2 linked regions of the Mus musculus genome follow. The protein of the gene in region 2 interacts with the protein of the main gene of each other region in a biochemical or structural test. Links are inferred from orthologs where the notes say so. Each region holds a gene or a part of one and is shown on either strand. Other genes may lie near its edges.

Evidence for each region.
Region 1: the proteins of Rel (region 2) and Nfkbie form a complex in vitro, tested with the Homo sapiens proteins (2 studies listed by BioGRID). The link is inferred for Mus musculus from reciprocal best matches to the Homo sapiens genes REL and NFKBIE.

Annotation. Positions count from the first base shown.
Region 1 is NC_000083.6:45,554,424-45,558,758, reverse strand, and holds the start of Nfkbie (NF-kappa-B inhibitor epsilon), read right to left. Parts: upstream 3,060-4,335; 5' UTR 2,819-3,059; coding exon 2,445-2,818; intron 265-2,444; coding exon 162-264; intron 1-161. UniProt on the Homo sapiens protein: Sequesters NF-kappa-B transcription factor complexes in the cytoplasm, thereby inhibiting their activity. Sequestered complexes include NFKB1-RELA (p50-p65) and NFKB1-REL (p50-c-Rel) complexes.
Region 2 is NC_000077.6:23,746,887-23,750,745, forward strand, and holds part of Rel (proto-oncogene c-Rel), read right to left. Parts: intron 2,006-3,859; coding exon 1,865-2,005; intron 1-1,864. UniProt on the Homo sapiens protein: Proto-oncogene that may play a role in differentiation and lymphopoiesis.

The DNA.
Region 1 (4,335 bases), on a different chromosome or scaffold from region 2:
TCAGGTGCCAGTGATGAGTCTGTGGGCACCTCGTGCCTGGGCAGACGCTGCTTCCTCTGTATGCATCTTTGTATTGCAGCTTCTGGCGCTGTGCCTAGCAGAGGGTTTGGCTGCTGGGGATGGCAGCAGGCACCTGGGCATAGCCTTCTCTCTCTACTCACCTGGTAAAGGTTGTTCTGAATGTCCAGGACTTCCTGGGGCAGGAAAGCCAAGCAACAGAATAGCACCGACGGGGCTTCGTGAATCACTGCCAGGTGGAGCAGCCTGGAGCAGGAGAGGGCTAGGGTCAGAGCCCAGGTCAGAGGTGATAAGCTGGTGTCTTGGGGTTAGAAATGAATGCATCGACCTCTTAACTAGCTACCCACAACCAAGCAGGTGCAGGAAGTGAGAGTTTGGGCCAGGAAGTGAGGGGTTGATACAGGAAGCCAGGATTCTGGAGATGGGAGCTCCAAGCTCGGATGGCTGGACCCGTGGAGAGCCTTGGCTGGGGGTGGAACCTGTGGGCAGGGTGCTGACAGGACAAGGGCCTTCCTGTCCACCGTGCCCACACCCAGCTCCCTTCTGCCCCCAGGGCCCTGCCAGGCCAGCTGCAGCTCAAAGCTAAACCGAAAGCTGCCGGAGAAACACAGAGGGGGTTTCCAGGGCTGAGCTACCCACCTCCCCACAACAGGGAGGACAGGAGGAGGCCGATGTGGGGTTCCCCCAGCGACTCAATGTCACACACTCCAAGGAGCCAGCATGGCATTTGGAACTGCTGCCTTACCCACTAGTCAAGCGGGCCATTCCACACAAGCCATCATATGGGGTCTGGTCACAAACCCTCTCCTAGGTACAGCTCCAAGGGGGAGTTTGGTGCAGTGCAGAAAATGGGTTTGATGGGGCGGGGGTGGGGGGGCGTGATGGGAGTTGTAAGTTAGGGCCAACAGGGCAGTTGGGATGGGAAGTTCCAGTCTTGGGGTTTCCCCACATCAGGTGGGGAAAATGAAAGCCAGGGTTAAATGGTCTAGACCTGGACAGCTGCCTTGGGGGCAACTTGGCTAAAGGCCTGTCTGGGCTAGGGAGGGGGATACTTAGGCAGGAGGGGGGGGGCAAACTTTTGCTGTAGGCAGGCAGTAGAGGAGGCCAGGAGAGAGTGACGGAGGGAGGGAGGAACCACTGTGGAAATCCCCTCGGCCAGGGCCTGCTCTCTGGGTCACATTCCTGCAGCCACCTCCCTCTCTCCCTCAGTCTCCCCTCCTCCTGCCCACTTCCTTTTCCCACTTCCATACTTCCCACAGTCCAGCCACCTCCAAAGGAGGGAAGATGTCTGCTGGGGGCTGGGGGGGAGGGGGCTGATGCTTCTCCAGACACACTGGATCTGTCTCTAAGCAGAGTGTGTCAAGGCTGCATGCAGCACAGGGGCTAACCGTGGAGGGCGCGGTGGCCCGAGAAGCTGTGCACAGAGCTCCCAGAACTCTGAGGTCCTGGCCTAAGGGTTGTGACTGGCGCCTGAAATACAAAAGGCCTCTCTCCTGCTCACAGGATGGAGACTATCTTTGCTAGTACCCAACCAAGACCCCTACATCTCCAACAAGCAGGTCAGGACAGGTACCCCCTGCATCCCAGCGTCTCTCTCATCTAGCTAGCACTCCAGCTGCCCCTGCTCTAACACCCACAAAGCCCAGTCACCTCTTCTGCACTTGACACCTACACACTTGATAGCCTCACAGTCCAGCTGCACCTGATTCCAGCTGGACCTAAGGGAGAAAAGGGAGATCAAGAGATGGGACAGCAAGAAGAATTTGGGGAGCTCAGGAGGTAACTGTTGGGGAGGCTGAGGCCAAGCCATTACTTCCCTTTTCTCAGCAGAGGAGGAAGTGAGCTGGGGCAGCCAGCTGCCTATCCTGTTTGTTGGGGGCAAAAATTCTCAGTCTAGTCCCTCTTTTGGAACCACTTTCAAATGGGCATCCAGGTAGCACCGTTAATCCAGGCTTCCTGAGCTCAGATGACAACCTGTAATCCTGGTGTAGTCTTTTTTCCCCCCTCTGGTTAGGGTGTTCTGAAGTTAGGCATTGGTATCCCAAATATTGAGCAAACAGGGACATTCCTTCCCCCAACAAGAAAAACAAAAACTGAATTGGTTGCGGGGGAATTCCTCTTCCCAGGAGTGGGTCACTAGTAGATTTTCAAGACTGTGGCTGGTGTTCTAGGTTACAAGGGCACTGCTATCCTGTCCACTCCCAAAAGAGGTGATGATGTCTGGTTTTTGGTCTGAACCTGGCTACAGCTTAAAAGCAAGTTGCAAGTTAAGTTTGGAGTTTGGAGAAGGAGGCTGGCCCTTCCAGGGCAGGTGCTGTGAGGGTCTATCCTCTCGGGTGATGAAGTGGTGGTGGTAGCCCAGCCAGTTGCAGCTCGGAGGGGGGCTCTAACTGAACATCTTATCTCAGCCTAGCCAGTTTACTCACGTGTCTCCATCCTCAGAGATGTATGTGAGCGCCTCGAGTTGCTGAGGGCTCAGCACCCCCGCGGGGGGCAGCGGCGATCCTGGGGCGGGAGGGCTTGGATCCTTGGCTTCGGGTCTCTCCAGTAAGGGGAAGGATTCAGTGAGAGAGGAGGAGGCATAAGTGGAGTCCGCTCGCTCTCCATCCGCATCTTCTTTCTCTGGTTCCTTGTGGGTCTCCGGAGCATGTCTCCAAGGCTGTGGGCAGCCGCTTTGGGATGATCCGGAGCCTGGGGCCGCAGTAGGTTCAGGCAGGGAGCGTAGAGAGCGCAGCGACTCTATGCCAGAGTCACACTGGCTATCATCCGCCTCGTCCGGCCCCTTCCGCGCATCCGACATGCCGGCCGCGCCAGCCCGGGGTCCAGGGTCCAGCGGGATCTAACTCTGAGGTGTGCAAAAGCGAGCTTTTCCGGGTTTGTGTGACCGCCTAACAGAACCAGAGTCACTCTCCGAGCGGCTTCATTACCTGCCTGTGCAGGCGCGGGGAGCGGATGAGAAAAGCGAGAGGTCCAGGGCGCCGGCCAGGTCCACCGCAGCGGGTGCTTTGGGCAGCTGAACGGTCCCTAGTTAGGTCTTCTCTGTCGCCCCGCCCCCGGACCCAAGAAGTGGCCCGCAGCCACTGCCACGCCCACAGCCCCGCCCTCAAAGGAGCTTCCGGGTAGAGCCCCGCCCCTCCGGAATCCCCCTGTTTGCTGCTTGCGTAGGCAGGGAGTCTCTGGTTACCAGTCTTGACTCACTCCTGCGTGGATTGTTTCGCCCATTCATTCATTCACTCATTCTTCCCCTTCCCTTTTATTTCATTCACTAATTCCGTGCATTTGTTTGTTCCTTCTTTTTAGTTCCGTGGTGTCTTCATTCATTTATTCATTCAATTGTTTAAAAAGTGTATTTTTAAAAAACTTTTCTGCATAAACCGGCTACTTTGTGGGGAGTTTGTGTAGGTTGGTGGTGGTGGTGGGGTGTCTTAGCGTTTCTATTGCTGCAATGAAATACCCTGACCAAAAAGCAAATTGGGGAGAGAAGGTTTTATTCGGCTTATACTTCAAGATCATAATCCATTATCAAAGGAAGTCAGGACAAAACTGAAACAGGACATGATCCTGGAGGGAGAAGCTGATGCAGAGGCCATGGGGAGCGTCTTGCACACTGGCTTGCTCCCCATGGCTTGCTCAGCCTGCTTTCTTATAGAACCCAGGAATACCAGCCCAGGGATGGCATCATGCACAATGGGATGGGGTGGGCCTTCCCCATCAGTCACTAATTAAGAAAGAGGCTTACAGCTGGATCTTATGGAGGCATTTTAACCGAGGTTCCCTCTTTTCAGATGACGCTGGCTCCCATCAAGTTGCCTGACTAGCCAGCACAGATGGGGAAGGGGTGGTGATGGTGGCTCTGCTTGCTATCCTCTGCCTATTTTTTTCTCAACTTCTCTTGCCTTTTCACTTATTTTCAATCAGTGCTCAGGGGGATTGGTAAGAGAGAGTGCATCTATTATCTTCAGGGGAGCAGCTTTTCCCTGGGAAACCTTCATAGACAGTTCTGGGTCAACTCCCCTGATGATAGACTTGGCAGGAGGATGTGATCTGGGGAAGTGGGTTTTCTAGGGAGGACTTATCTCACAAGCCTTGGTGGTCATGGGGTTTCTTCTTCCTTGCAGGGTGTGCACTGGCCTTTGGTAGGTACAGGAGATGGCTGCCCCCAGCAGTCAAAGAAGTTTAGTTCCTCACAGTGGAGCCAGGGTGGGGAGGCCCCTGACACTACTGAAGTTTCCACCCTAGCCCTGAAGTCTTTCCCCTCCCTTCTTGCTTTTCTTCAACATGACTAGGGTTTGAGAGAACACCACCCACAGGCGATCC
Region 2 (3,859 bases):
TTCTTGCCTCTTCCTCCTGTTTCTTGGTAAAGGCACACTGTGAATAAATGAGTCATTTTATATCACTGGCTATATCCCTAGGGCAATGCAGTTCTCATTTATCTTCCGAATATTATTATGATAGTTCTTAAAGGTACCCAAGGCTCTCTGTTAAGAATAATCTACCTCTATACTCCTATGGTCCAGTATTCTACATGCAAATCAGGTGTGGCATATACTACTGGTGAATGTGTGTGTATATACACAAAATATTTTGGAGGAAAGTTTTAAAATCTTTTCAAATAAACTTCTATATCCTTTGATGTAGGTATCTGTCAAAAGTTATTCTTTTAAAAATAAATGTCAGAAATATTTGCATAAGAGATAAACATTCAGGAGCCAGTGACATAGTTAAGGCAGCAAAGCCTGACAACTTGAGTTTGATCTCAGGGAAACACATGATGAAAGAGCACAGCCAAGTCCTGTAAGTTGTCTTCTGACCACACACATATAAACAGGCAGATACATGATCCATAGAGAGTTGTCTTTAAATGCACACATAAATATATCTACTTTGGTATAATTTGCTTACAAAAGGAAACAAACCAAATATATTCTTAAATATGATTCTTAAAAGTCATCTTTTTTATTTTTTATACTCCATATTAATGATTTCTTAAAATTAATATATAGACATATAAAAAAATATGCTTCTGAACAAGGTGACACTGGCCTTTAATACCAGCACTTGGGAGGCAGAGGCAAAAGTAGAGGCAGGTGGATCTCTGTGGTTCAAGGCCAGCCTGATCTACAGTGAGTTTAGGACAACCAGGACTGATACACAGAGAAACCCTTTCTTGAGAAAAAAGAAAAAGAAAAAAGTATAAAGCAACACAAAGAAAGGAAGAAGAAGGAAGGAAGAAGGAAGGAAGGAAGGAAGGAAGGAAGGAAGGAAGGAAGGAAGGAAGGAAGGAGATAAATATTCAGCTACTGGAAACCTAAGTGGGGTTTGGGGTATAGCTCTGTACAATGTCCTGGTTAAATGCCAGCAGTGTTTAAAAAGAAAAAAGAAAAGAAAAAGTGATTGAAAAAGGTTCAAGATACATTGCAAAGAGAAAAGTTCTGGGATTTTCTGTCTCTATCTATTGAGGAAGGATCCCATGTGACACAGTAGGGTCTTGAATTCCCATTTTTAAACATGGTAAAGGAAAACTTAACTCCTGATCTGCCTGCTTGGACTTCCCAAGTGCTATTATTATAGGCATGCACTACCACTACTGGCTTGAAAAAAAGTTGTTTTTTTTTAAAATATCATTGATCTTTTTTTTTAAGTTGCCAAACTTAGTGGGTGAATGGGGTTGATGAGGAAGATGGTGGTGTCTGTGCTTATTCAAAGGGACTACAGTGTATGCTTGAGGACAGTGGCCATTTAGGAGGAGACTAATGGTGATTTGCTCTTCTTTCTTATATATGTATATATGCTTGAGGGTTTTTTTTTCTATAATGAACAGTGCTTTGTTTATTTGTTTGTTTTTTGTCTGAGACAGGATCTTTTTATGTAATCCTGGAAATCACAGGGTAGACAAGGATGGCCTTGAACCCACAGGGATCTGCCTATCTCTATCTCTGAGTACTGGGATTAAAGACATGCACCGCCACCCCTGGCTTCTTCTTGTTTCTTGAGACAAGGTCTCAATGTGTAGTCCATTATGCCTTCAAACTTTATCCTCCTGCCTCAGCCTTCTGGTTGCTAGAATTATATGCACAAACCACCAATCCCACCTAACATACTCCTTTTCAAATTGCAAAAATCCTTTAAACTTTTCAGCAGTTAAGGAAATGAAACAAGCTAAAAGTACAGACATAAGAAAATTAAAGCACTTACGGTTGTCATAAATTGGGTTAGAAACAATGGGAGGCAGAGCAGTTGTGAAGTTACCATGTTCATCAGGAAGGAAAACTTGAAAACACAGCCTCACCACATTGAGGTCGCAGTCTTCAATGTCCAGCAGCTGCTGTTCAGGGACTGAACAGTACAATCTCAGATTTAGAATGTAGAACACATAATACTAATACTTTATTATTACCAAAATCCTGCTGTCTTTCTCTCTGCCCACAACATCCAATAACCTTAACCCGCACCTACGTCTGCAGAAAACTAAGATGGGGTTCAATCTCAAGAACAGTTTTCATTATTGTACAGTTACTATTTAACAGTATATAACAGACTGTAGCCATGCTCAGAGAGAGACTATACCAGGGACTAGGAACTTAAGGGCAGAATCATAAACTGACCACCAAAATCAAAAATCTTAAATATGGATACAAGTTATAGACAATGGGAAACATGCATACTTCATTTAACATAACACTTGGCCCAGTCTGTAATTACGTTCTAAATCTAGCAAAAATCACCATCATCCCTGTTCTTATAGGTAAGACATTGATTTTAAGGAGATGACATTATTTGTCTAAATAATAAATTTTACAGCTAAATAATAGCATGGAAATTTGAAGCAGAGGGTCATATTAACTTATTAACATATTGCACCAGCATTTTAGAGATGCAATGTGAAAAAGATATCAGATGATATAACTTTATGTGTAAGTCAAGTCAGCTTAAAAACAAACTGCACACCAGGGCATTTTTACAGTTCTGAAAAAAAAATACAAAAACTTGCCACAGAATATAGTACAATAGTCTCTTTGCATTGATATTTGAAAAGAAGCCCATTTCTAAAACAAAATATTGCTGCGTTTTGAAATATTTTAAGCCTATAGCAATAAATTGTTACTAATATATGCCATATTTTAAAAACATAAAATTCATTAAATTACATGAAAAATTTACTTGGAAAGGACACTAGTATTAAAATTAAAAGATTAAATATGAAAAATAATTAGCTAAATTCCCCAGTCTTACAGGTGATAACTTATTTAAAAAAACATATCTCACACAAAGCCAGTCAAATAGTCTCAGGAGTTATGCTAACACTGAAATTTATTCCAGTATCAGCATTCTTAAGCCTAACATTTGAGTCTATGAAAACATACTTGTACAACTAGAAAGGTCAAAATGGGGCTGAGAGAGATGATTCAGTCGGTAAAGTACTTTCCTTGCAAGTATGAGCTCAACCCTCCAACCCATGCAATGAAGCCAGGTGCAGTAGTAGTCAGGCTCCTGATAATATTCTCAGTGCCAGGAAGGCAGAAGCAGGGTACTGGTCGCCATCTAAGCCCGCAGATGAGAACCCCAGTTCAAAAAAGGGAGGCAGAAAATGTTGGAGGCAAACATCTGAGGCAGTCCTTTTGCCTCCATACCTAGGTACGCACCCTCATACCATGTTCAAGGGGAAAATATGAGGTTCAAAATGCTAAGAGGGCAGCACCTGTATCACAGTAGCACAGTTGCTGGGACCAGGACAGGCAGTAAGAGTGCAGGACTACTGAAAGTCTCATTTAATAGCAATATAAATTTAAGAGCTCAAGGTTTCAGTGTCTTCATTTCAAAGTGAGTAATCAATATTAAAACAAAACAGACAGACAGAAAGACAGACAGACAAAAACAATGAATGGCTAGGTGCTCCTGACAGTTTACAAATAAATTTCTGTTAATAGAAACAAGTTGTAGTATAGTCATACAATGAACAAATACTCAGCAATAAAGAACAAACTATGGTTATATTTTCCAACAATATACACTGCAAAACCAGTAAGACCAAGTGGAGCCAGGCAGGAAAGAATATAGAATATAAAAGAATACTTCCATTTCTATAAAACCCTAGAAAAATTAGGTGTGCTGACAAAAAGGAGATGAGCTGTTGACTGGGGCAAGAGCTGGAAGGAAAGAAATGATTGAGAAAGATCAAAGACAATTTGG